Lytechinus pictus: one gene and its partners. Each later gene encodes a partner of the first gene's protein in a complex. Links are inferred from orthologs where the notes say so. Each region holds a gene or a part of one and is shown on either strand. Other genes may lie near its edges.

The links.
Region 2: condensin complex subunit 1-like (region 1) and structural maintenance of chromosomes protein 2-like share a complex: the UniProt entries of both Homo sapiens proteins name them as parts of the condensin complex. The link is inferred for Lytechinus pictus from reciprocal best matches to the Homo sapiens genes NCAPD2 and SMC2.
Region 3: condensin complex subunit 1-like (region 1) and condensin complex subunit 3-like share a complex: the UniProt entries of both Homo sapiens proteins name them as parts of the condensin complex. The link is inferred for Lytechinus pictus from reciprocal best matches to the Homo sapiens genes NCAPD2 and NCAPG.

The regions. Positions count from the first base shown.
Region 1 is NC_087258.1:13,124,484-13,128,242, reverse strand, and holds the start of condensin complex subunit 1-like, read left to right. Parts: upstream 1-1,396; 5' UTR 1,397-1,503; intron 1,504-3,759. UniProt on the Homo sapiens protein: Regulatory subunit of the condensin complex, a complex required for conversion of interphase chromatin into mitotic-like condense chromosomes.
Region 2 is NC_087255.1:14,795,681-14,799,439, forward strand, and holds the start of structural maintenance of chromosomes protein 2-like, read left to right. Parts: upstream 1-1,433; 5' UTR 1,434-1,542; coding exon 1,543-1,710; intron 1,711-3,447; coding exon 3,448-3,597; intron 3,598-3,759. UniProt on the Homo sapiens protein: Central component of the condensin complex, a complex required for conversion of interphase chromatin into mitotic-like condense chromosomes.
Region 3 is NC_087256.1:26,511,943-26,515,701, reverse strand, and holds the start of condensin complex subunit 3-like, read right to left. Parts: upstream 2,417-3,759; coding exon 2,389-2,416; intron 1,008-2,388; coding exon 815-1,007; intron 1-814. UniProt on the Homo sapiens protein: Regulatory subunit of the condensin complex, a complex required for conversion of interphase chromatin into mitotic-like condense chromosomes.

The DNA of each region.
Region 1 (3,759 bases):
TGGTCGCGCATGGTATCCATGCACTCATCAATGTAAGTGGCCCTCCGGGCATAAACCAAAACCAAATAAAACGTTTCTTAAATACACTTGAAGGGGTGGGGGGTCATATCCTGACATCATTGTGGAAGCGGGGATAGTCTGTACAAAATATACCCTATATTTCAAGTTTTTTGTTAGATGAGACACGCATGACATATTGATCACTATAATAATGAAACACTAGGGCTTCATGTTGTTACGACAGCATATCATCCTAAGAATTGTATTTGTTCTTCATAGGATACTTTTAATTGCATTAATTGATAATTGACGCAACAATCTATGTCAAATGTGAATTTTGCTCCAAATTTGAACGTTGCATCATCCCCCAATATAATTTTCAATATTATTCAAAATTTTTCCTTTCTGCGATATTTTCGTTGTCATTTGCATCATTGCCATTTCCGCATTTTTTGAAGTTTATCGGATGAGTTGCCATGAGATTCATTTCATAAGGCATTATAATCGTTATATTCGCGATAATCATGATCCTATTTTTTTATATTCTCAACTCACTAATTTTAACTAGTGAGCAAATGAGTTTTCATTGAATAAATCTCGACTGTTTGATCATTATTTTTATAATATAACAACTTTATATCTATTCTACCTTTCGTTTTTGAAAAATTACCCCTGCTATATATCCTCTGCACATTGTCAATTAAAACGACTGAAGCAATTTTTTTAAGGCACTCGATCACGTTTGCTCGTCGCAATTTTCCCTTGAAAGACGTTTTTCAATCATCCTGACTTCATTCCAACTACTATTTACTGTAATTAAGTATATATCGATCACAACAACAGTAGCCATTGTCATAATTGAAATAGCTCAAGGTAACTGTCACCAATAGAGATGGTAATACTATGTACAAGGACATAGCTCTTGATGTGGTATAATTATTGCACACTTGAAAGACGTTTTTGGACCCCGGGTTTTGGACACCATTCTGTCTTCCAAGTACTAAAAATTTGCTCGCTCACTCGCATATCAATATAAACTGCATTAGATAATTTATATCACAAAAAAACTCAAATATACTAGCCATCGAAAAAACAATCATGATAATGATGGTATTGTACGTTATAATTTATATACCCCCGTGTTTTGGGTGTCCCCAAAATGTTGAAATTTCAGGTCAATATATTGCAATCATTCCACCCATGCTCGGACTGTATAGTGACAAAACTGACTACTAGTATATGCTAGTAAACAATTACTGTACTGTAAAGTAACTTTATAGTACAGTAATTGTTTACTTGCATTGTAATTCTCGAGTTTTGTGAACGACTTTTACCGAAATAAATTTTTGCTGATTGTGCGATACCATAGTTCACAAATCGAGCGTTCTGATTGGTCAGTTCTCGTTCATTTTTTTACAATACAATTTTTCCGCGGATTTTGAAGCCGTTGATGCGGAATCCTTCGCCTACGGGAACAACATTTTGCCGTTTTCATTCGTGTTGGTTCGTATTTTTGTTCACCTTTTCATCATATGTATTCTGTCTTAAACTTTAATTTCAAATGTGAATGACTGGTTTTGATGGAAAGTAGCTTTATTTCTGATCGTTTCTTCTACAGCCCGGCTTTGAATTTGACCGAGTTAATGTTGGCTTGATTGGGAGGGCTACGCAGCCTCGAAGGCCAGCCGCGCCCCGAGCGAGGCGGCGAGGCAAGGTTGGGGGTATGAAGGTGGGCCCCGCCATGGCCCATGTCTGCGCACCTAATTATTTAACCTCAGATTTAATATAGATTTCAATTTACTTCACAAAACTTTTTAGTTGATAATGTTCCTTATATTCTTATGAGTAAGTGTGCAAAAAATCTCATAAAAATTTGAAAAAAACAAGATTTTCTTAAGTTAATGATTTATCATGGGAAACAAAACTCAAATTTCAAAAGTTAACTTAAAGTTAAAACCAGGCCGAGGCCCGAGCCAGTCATTCACTTTTTTTTGGTTTCAGATTGAACAAAAAATTGTGCCCCATGATGTCTGTGCACAATAAAGTCTTTACACACGATTCAGCTCAGGGATTTTGATGAGAAAGGCTGCATATCAGTAGAGACTAGAGGCGCAAGGCAATATGGGAGACTCCAATAGAGGAGACAATTTCCCACATTGGAGACTTGCTTTGCAAAAGGACAAAAGAAACACCAACAAAAACATGATTTTTTCCACCCAAAATTTTGTCTCGCTGAGGTCAGAAGCCCATTTGTTTTGTGTGTGATTGACAACAAATATCCTTATCAAAACAAAAGTAGACGGTGAATTTTTAAAGTAGACGGTGAAAAGGGGTAATTTTTCATGAGGAATCTGCTTATCACATTTTTATTTGCCGCCAAGGTAATCCTTTTGCAGCAAATGTAAACAAAGGAAATTGATCTCCAAAACTGGAGACTGTGTCTGAAATTGGATACCCAAATTCTTTACAAAAGTCTCTGATATTGGAGATAATCTCCCACATTGGAGACAGTCTCCAATATTGGCCATGCGCCTCTACTGCATATTGAGGCTGTCGGCGTCACATGAAATGCTGAAAATTTCTGGAAATGGCTAAACTTAAGAATTCATTTTTTTCCACCACTGAGTCAGGTTTTTTAATGAATACCTTTCTTTCTAAATTCTATGAATTGCATCTGTAATTGTAAAGTTTGTGGCGAGCTATGGTGGTTGTTGCATATCTTCTTTTAGAATCGCGCAGATACACGTGTGCGCAGACACGGCCAGGGGGACCTTACCATACATGTAGGATACGTAGGCCAGCTTGATTGGCGATGTAGAAAGTTCTAGACTTAAAAATCTGCTGTTTCGCAGGAGTTTTTATACATTTTCTGATTTCTTTTTAGTCGTCCTGCTACACAGACTGGAAGTATCCCATAGGACTCATAGTGCTGGGGTGGTATTCTGAGATAAGCTTGTAACCGATTTTGCAATCGGCAACCGATTCCATTCGATTTCACCACAATCGGCAATCACTTGCCGATCTTCGATCATGCCCCTTGAAGGAAAAAATCGAAAATAAAAAATTGGCGTAGATCTGGTTACAGTGCGTGATCGCTCAGAACATATTTCAAGATTGTTTTTGAGGTGCTAGCTATTTGGAGGTCGCATTATTCAGGGAGAAAGACGCGGTATTATCTATGGCGATGTTTAAGAGGATAAATATCTTCTCTTCCAACTCATGGTGATAGCGGATGCCGCCGTGAACTTTGAAAGGTCGTATTACCGACGGAGCTCACTGCGCTACTCTCTTACCCCCTTTATAATGATATAAATCTTCTCTTCAACCTCGTGGTGATAGCGGACCCCGCCATAAACTTTTAAAGACTGTACTATTGACGGAGCTTATTACGTTACTCTCTTACATCGTTTATGATGATATACATTTTATTTTCAACCTCGTGGTGATAGCGGACCCCGCCGTGAACTTTTAAAGGTCGTATTACCGACGGAGCTCACTGCGCTACTCTCTAACCCCGTTTATAATGATATAAATCTTCTCTTCAACCTCGTGGTGATAGCGGACCCGGCCATAAACTTTTAAAGACTGTACTATTGACGGAGCTTATTGCGTTACTCTCTTACATCGTTTATGATGATATACATTTTATTTTCAACCTCGTGGTGATAGCGGACCCCGCCGTGAACTTTGAAAGGTCGTATTACCGACGGAGCTCACTGCGCTACTCTCTAACCCCGTTTATGATGATATACATTTTAT
Region 2 (3,759 bases), on another chromosome or scaffold:
GCTTTTATTTGAATAAAAAAGTAGAAAAAAATAATTTAAAAGTACGTTTAATCTTAAAAATTGGATATGAAACGAGGTAGTTCTGACAGTGTTTTACTTAATTCACAAAGTAGTTTTATGCACAACCTGGTCGGTATCCAAATGACGTACCGATGACGAATTAACTCAGTGACTCACTATTTCTTTTGTTATAATAACTAACAAACATTTTCTCCTCACTTTTTCTCCCTGACAATTGCCACTCTTATAACACATGTTAAATTCGATGAAGCTAGAGTATCATTATTGTCAAATCTGCAAAAAGAAATAATGTATAATAGTGAGTGACTGATATCGATTCTCCATGATGATTACCACTGTGTTTTGCATAACTTTTTAAAAATAAGCGAAATTCCATAACTTTCTTATTTTGCATCCGATTTTCATCAGCATGCTTTGTCTCTTTTTACTCAATATTGTTGGTGTGAACATTATTTTTAAGAAGCGTTCAATTCTAATTAACACAAAAAGTCACAATTATTATATGATTTGCATAAATGAAACAAAATCTGAAAAAGAAAAGTTTACATTTCATATAGGATAATATTTAAATAAAAACGAGCTAGGAAGGTAATAGGTAGTCCTATGCTGCATACTATAGGGCATCATTTTTTAATATATCATTTTAAAGGACAAAAGTTAATTTGAATTTTTAAAAGAGAACACTAGAATTTCATCATAACCAGTTGGAATTAATAAAAAAAAATATTTTGTCAATAATATACTTTAAATTTGCTTAATTTCACAAAATGTGCAGATATATCGTGCACGTAAAAATCCTGTTCTGAGTCTGTATAGAAATGAGGGGACTGATGACGTCATTTATTTTGCTTTTTTTTTAAAGATTATATATTTTTATTTTCTCTTCATTGTCCATGAAACAAACTTTTTATTCCTCCCTGAACATATGTCGAATATTGTTTTAACATTTCATATTGTTCAGTCAAGTTGGTTCTCATTGTCAAATCCTTACAAATGAAATAGGGCCTAAATATTGTATAATTCACACAACAAATTGAGGAAATAACAAAATAGTGAGTGCGGGACATCATCGTACACCCTAATTTGCACAATGAGTTGTCATGAAAACTGTTTTGTAAAAAATAAGCGAAACTTTAAAATGTCACAATTTTCTTATTAACTCAAATCAACGTTTTCTGGCAGCGTACGTGGACTTGAATTTTAAACAACCCCGACACAAACTTAAACATTTTTTTTGGGGGGGGGGGGTGTTTGGTGAGAGTTTAGTTACTTTATTAAAATATTTAAACCCGACCGAACAGAAAATTTCCCAAAATATTTACTAGTATTTGAATCATTGTGATGGCGCAAGACAAAAAAACCCAACATCATAAACAACAACTGCAAAGCCTGCCTTCGAGCTTCGCGCATGCGCAGACGTCAACCGCCAAATAACCGGGCGCTTTGAACGGAGCGGAGTGCAGTGCCGCAATACAACTTTTCAAAATATTATTTTTTGGGACTAAATCTCAGGAATACAAGATGTATATCAAGGAAATAATCATCGATGGATTTAAGTCATATGCACAGAGGACGGAAATCAAGGGATTTGACCCTCTCTTCAACGCAATTACTGGATTGAACGGTTCTGGAAAGTCAAACATCCTCGACTCGATTTGTTTTTTGTTGGGGATCTCCAATTTAACACAGGTGGGACTAAGGCTATTTTCGATGTGAAAACTGAATGTTCTTTGAAAGTTTGAGTTTGAATGAGATCCAGACAAATAGGCAAATCACTCGTTTATGAAAATTTTGAACAAAATTTACGTTAGACCATAATTGGCCCCTTATTTAGATTTTTCTATGCCAAGCTATGAATTTTAGCCTAAGTTTGTTACTTTAGGCCTAGATTTTTGGCATTGTCCGGATTTGTCGATCAGATCACAACTTCTCAAACATGAAACAGATCCCATGAATGATGAATTGACATGATGAAAAAGAGGATTAGCTTGGCGGCAAATAAAAATGTTATAAGCAGATTCCTCATAAAAAAATCACCCTTTTTTTTAGCTTTTCACCGTCTACTTAAAAATTCACTGTCTACTTTTGTTTTGATAAGGTCTAGGATTTTTGTTGTCATCCTCACACAAAACAAACGGGCTTCTGACTAGCCAGGACATGCAGGAGGCTCCTGGAGAATAAGAATTATTCTACTAACATAGGCTTACTCTCCACGGAGCCAGGAATTGCGTCCCGTTCATGCGCGTGTGCACCGCGAAAAAAACTGAAACTTTCGCCCCCGAGATTTCTACTTCTAAACGATCTAGGCCTAGCCCACTTCCACTTCCAAACGCGGTTCGTGGTGCGAGGTTAGTATACTAATACTAACCTCGCAATACGTGTGAGTGGGCCTAGCCCTAAATCATGTAAATGAGATACAACTTCATTTCCGACATTTCTACGATATTGATTTCATTTTTAAACAAGAATTCATTAAAAAAACCGAGAAAAATATGAAAAGACGAGGAAAACTTGCCACCGCGGTTATGTCGCCATCTTGTTTTCTTTGTCTTTCGCCAAGACGACAGCATGCATATCGCGATATATGCAAACAAAGGCGCACTATTACTATATAGTCTGAAAATGAGGAATGCATGTCCTCGCGCCTCACAAACCAGTAGAGGTGCTGGTCGAAAAATTGGGATTGTCCCAGAAAACAAGGATATCCTCATAAACCAAGACAAATCATGTCTTGATGAATTGAGACTGTCCTTGTATGGGGACATTTTTTTTTTTTCACTTACTCCTTCGGGACATATTAGATGGCAATTTGGGGGATTGAGAGTGCTAAAAATAGATTCAGTGGCCTCAATTCCCCTACATGTAGTTCACCATCTATTTTTCACGACTTGCTGTCTCAATAATAACAAGAATAGAGTCAATAAAAAAAAGAAACAAAACTATTCAAGAATTTGAGTGTGATATATCCGAAAGCCATGTATTACTTTTTAAGATTCTTGTATCCTCATTTCTGATAACCCATTTTTGGCAAAATGTGAGAATTTTGAATATATGGCCTCAATAAAATTCAATAAAAGGCTGATTGTCATCTGGGTCGTGCTGTCTATGATTGCTGTCGTATTGAGCTGAGATATTGTGTAACGGGCAAGATTTATTTTTAAAATATAGTTGCGAGTGAGCAAAAATTTCGACATTTTCTATACAATAGTCTGTGATAAAATTCGACATAATAAATTCAGAAAATAATTTGCGATTTCACCCTTCTCTTTTTTCTTTTCCTTTATCTGTTTTTCTTGGCGGTGATTTTTTATTTTATTTTTTTTATTATTTTTTTTTTAGGGGGGACAAGTTCCCCCAAGCCCCCCCCCCCCATCTGTATGGTACTGTATATGATTGATTCATTGATCCATCTTTTTGTTGTACTAGGTTCGAGCTGGCAGCTTACAAGAACTGGTGTACAAGGGAGGCCAAGCCGGTGTCACAAAAGCAACTGTCACAATAGTCTTTGACAACAGAGACAAGAAGCAGAGTCCAGTAGGATATGACAGCTTTGATGAATTCACAGTCTCAAGACAGGTAATGATATCATGGGGTCGTTTTCACAAAAACTATTATCCCTGCACAATCAATAGCAATTTTGAGGAATTCAACTGTTCTCAATACACTGGAAAATTTACCTCAAAATTTTTGGCCATCAACTGCAACCTTTATCAATGATATGAACTTTCATGATCAAAT
Region 3 (3,759 bases), on another chromosome or scaffold:
TTTGATGAAGTTTTCAGTGTTGTGCTTGTTAGATTTTTCTCTATTTATTCAAATCAACATTTTTCTGGGGTGGACTTGACCTTTAAAAAAAAAATAGCAAGCATATCCTGGGGACCTAATCTGGGTCCCAGAGTTGTGATTGATCCAATCACCCTGAATTATATGGCAATCCAGAAATGTCATAACTTTTACTACCAGAAATGTGCACGATGTCCTTTGGTAACAAAGTGGAGGGACACTAAGATGTCAAGACAACAATGAATGTATGAGTAAACATATCGAGAAAACATTTTGAACAAATATGTGGGTGTTGCTGGCTTTCCATAGTTGAGGTTGATTGGATAGCATCTCTTTTAAAGAAGGACTCCTGGTGGGTGTTTCATAAAGCTGTTCGTAAGATAAATGACTTTACGAACGACTGGTGATCCTTTCTTGTGCTCTGTGATATCCCTATGTAATTGAGTTATGACCTAAGAACATGTGTAAAGTCGTTCGTAACTTTACGAACAGCTTTATGAAACACCCACCTGGGCCCCGTCTTACAAAGAGTTACGATTGATCCAATCAATTGTAACTCTATGGAAATCCATCATTGTGTTAATTTTTTCTACAGGAAATTGCACAATGTCCTTTGTAAACAAAGGAAAACACACCAAATTGTCAAGAAAGCAATGACTTTATGGATATACATTCATATCTAGAACAATCTTTGAATAAACATGCATTTCATATGTTGACTTTGCTGGCTTTCCATAGTTGCAATTGATTGGATCAATCACAACTCTTTCTAAGACGGGCCCCTGGTATGACTTACTCTTCATTCAGTAGATCAAAGTCCTCCACCAATCCCGAGACGGGAACCTTCTCGAAAATGGTCTTCAGGGCGAGCTCTGCGGTAGCGCAGGAGTTCTCAACATCCAAGCGCTTGAGAAGATCAATGGCATTACCATCAAAGGCTCTAAGCCAGCTCTGAAGCATCTTACCAGAGCAGATGTCCTTGACAATGTCTAGGTTACAAAGATAACATGGTTGACAATGAAGTTTAAAAAACTATTCTGCAATATCCATTTCTTATGAGGGCTTTTAATCAATTAACTATGTACGAAAGATTTTGTTTGTGTTCACGCAAGTCCTAATTATGGATTTCATTAGGGCATGCATGAAGCAGTTCAATTCCTGGGGAAATTTTGGTATTTCCCGCTCTGGTTGGAAACACTGGGAAATATTTCAGATGTACAGGGAGTGCATGTACAAGGAAATGCTAGAATATGCTGAGAGACAATGCCTGAAAATATTCAAGAAGTATAGTTTGTAGTATTTCCCTGTATTTCCAACTATTTTCCATTTTCCTCAAAGACCAGCAAAGGCAGTATTTACCGGAGTTTGCCAGTATTCACCGTCCCAATTTCCAAATCTGGCCAACCCTGATCAAAAATTTTACAAAATCTCGCACTACGTATGGTATTAAATGTGGACCAATTGTCTCCTTCAAATGATTTGTACAAATTCGTCTCGTTGCATTGTTTCAGGTGTCTTCGTTTGCTTTTAAAGTTCAGATTTACCCGGATCGTTGTCCAGCGAGAGTTAGAATTAGTTGTTGAGAGTTCCCACACTTCTGGATTCATCATTTCCAAGAAAGCAAACGTTCTGTGGTGATAGCTGTGTTACGATTTTCTGCTTGCACTTCAATTATTCGTTGCTCCTGCTTTTTGGCTCTAAATCTACCTTTTTTACAATTTGTGACTTTCAATACTTGGAAATCATAATACTCTTTCTGCTTCCAGAATATATTCTGTGCTGTTTTGTATCATTGTGGATTTATTCTTGGGACTTTACCATACTTTGGATATCATCAATTCGACATTATGTGACCCTGAGAACGATGTATTGGACACACCTAGTCCCATACACACTTTTGGATTCGCAAACCGAGCTAATCCTTCGTTGTTATATTTGTCTACCCTCGTAACACCAGGTAACATATTATCATCTTGTGCATGTTTAACTATATGAATTCAACAATATCCTCTTCTTCATATGATACTGAAGCTTCATAATGACTAAATCAAAACATTGCACGAAGATAAAAACTAATTCCTGCCATGGAACCATTGGTTCGGACGACTTTAGATGTAAACTACCAAAGCATATAACAATCTCAAGTATTGACGCAGTTCTTTCACATCTACTGATTCATGATATTACTGATGCTATTTTAGATGATGAACTTGTGGACTATCTTACATCTGAATTGGGGTCTATTTATCCTAATTTAAACCAGGATATAGCCCGCCATTTTAGTATCATATCTCTTCAAAATGGCCGCCCCAAACGTCCAGAAAGCTACAAGCCGAGCGTTAGGCAACACCATGACAACAGTTGCCAAACTGATGTAAGCGTTGCCATTAGCAACCATTATACGGAGCCCGAAACTAATCCTATTGAAGGGAGGTGCGAAACGGATTATCCTCCCTTGACCTCCAAAGTTTCTAATCCAATACATCGGGATGAATGCCCAGTGTTGGTGGAACCCCCATGTAATTACCCAAACACAAAGGATTCTATGGATGATTCACAACCCACCGAGGATTCCCCCGTTCTCGACTCTTGTGCCGAGCATTGCTCATCGTCAAATGATTCTCATGCGCAGACAGCAACTATAACTTCCAATGTTAATCTTCGTGAAAAATTGGATTATCTTGCACATGAGTTCAAGCAATTCAAATCCCTTGTAAATAGCTTGCTTGAAGCTATTCAATCTAGTCATGCACAGATATTTAACAGCCCCAATGAAAACACTTCTTGTCTTTCAAATGACCATCCTTCAGATGACCATCCTCAAAAAGACCCACCTCCCGTTCCAGTACCACTAACCCACAGTGGGAATGACGAAGCTTTCCGAACATCATAAGATTTCGATAAGCAACTTCATGATTACCGTTACAAACATAGTGTGAGATTTACTCATGAGTCTCATACCAGTGAGAATTTAAATTGTATTGAATCTGATCGTGTATTCGTTTCCGATGAGAAAATCAATACCCTTGTGATTGGTGATTCGATAATTAAACATCTTAAACCATTGTCAATGTCTAATCACAAGAATCGAGTCTACTGTAAAACTATCCCTGGTGCCAGAGTAGAGAATGTCTTCGAACATGCCCATCATCTTGCAAATAAATACCATGCAAAAGTAGTTATTCTTCATGTCGGAACCAATAATTTGATTAACGCTGATCCTAGCATGTTAGTTGTACAGATTGAATCTCTTGGCGATCAGATTTTAGCTAACTGTTCTACTGTTTCAACAATTGTCTTGAGTTCCATCATCCCTCATAAGACCTTTCAAAAGGAACTTGAATGGAAAACCTACGAGGCAAACTAGCTGCTTCACCAGATGGCACTGCGAAGGAACTGGAAGTTTATTGAACATAGATCCTGAAAATCATCTCGCCGCAGATGGCGTCCACTTGAACGCTGAAGGCGCTAGACTGTTTGGTTGTGCAATTTCTTCCCATATAATTGACACTCCAAAAACTCAGATTGAATCCTCTGCCACTCCACATCCTTCCTATACAGGATGTTACAACTGTGGTGAACTCAACCATAAACAGAGAAATTGTAGATATGAATCAAAATTACAGTGTAACTCTTGTTCTCAGTATGGCCACAAAGCCAAGTTTCATCGTTTCAACCAAAATTTGTAATTAGTTGGCAAAGAAGATTTTGCCGTTAATGAGCATCTATCCTCCCTCATAT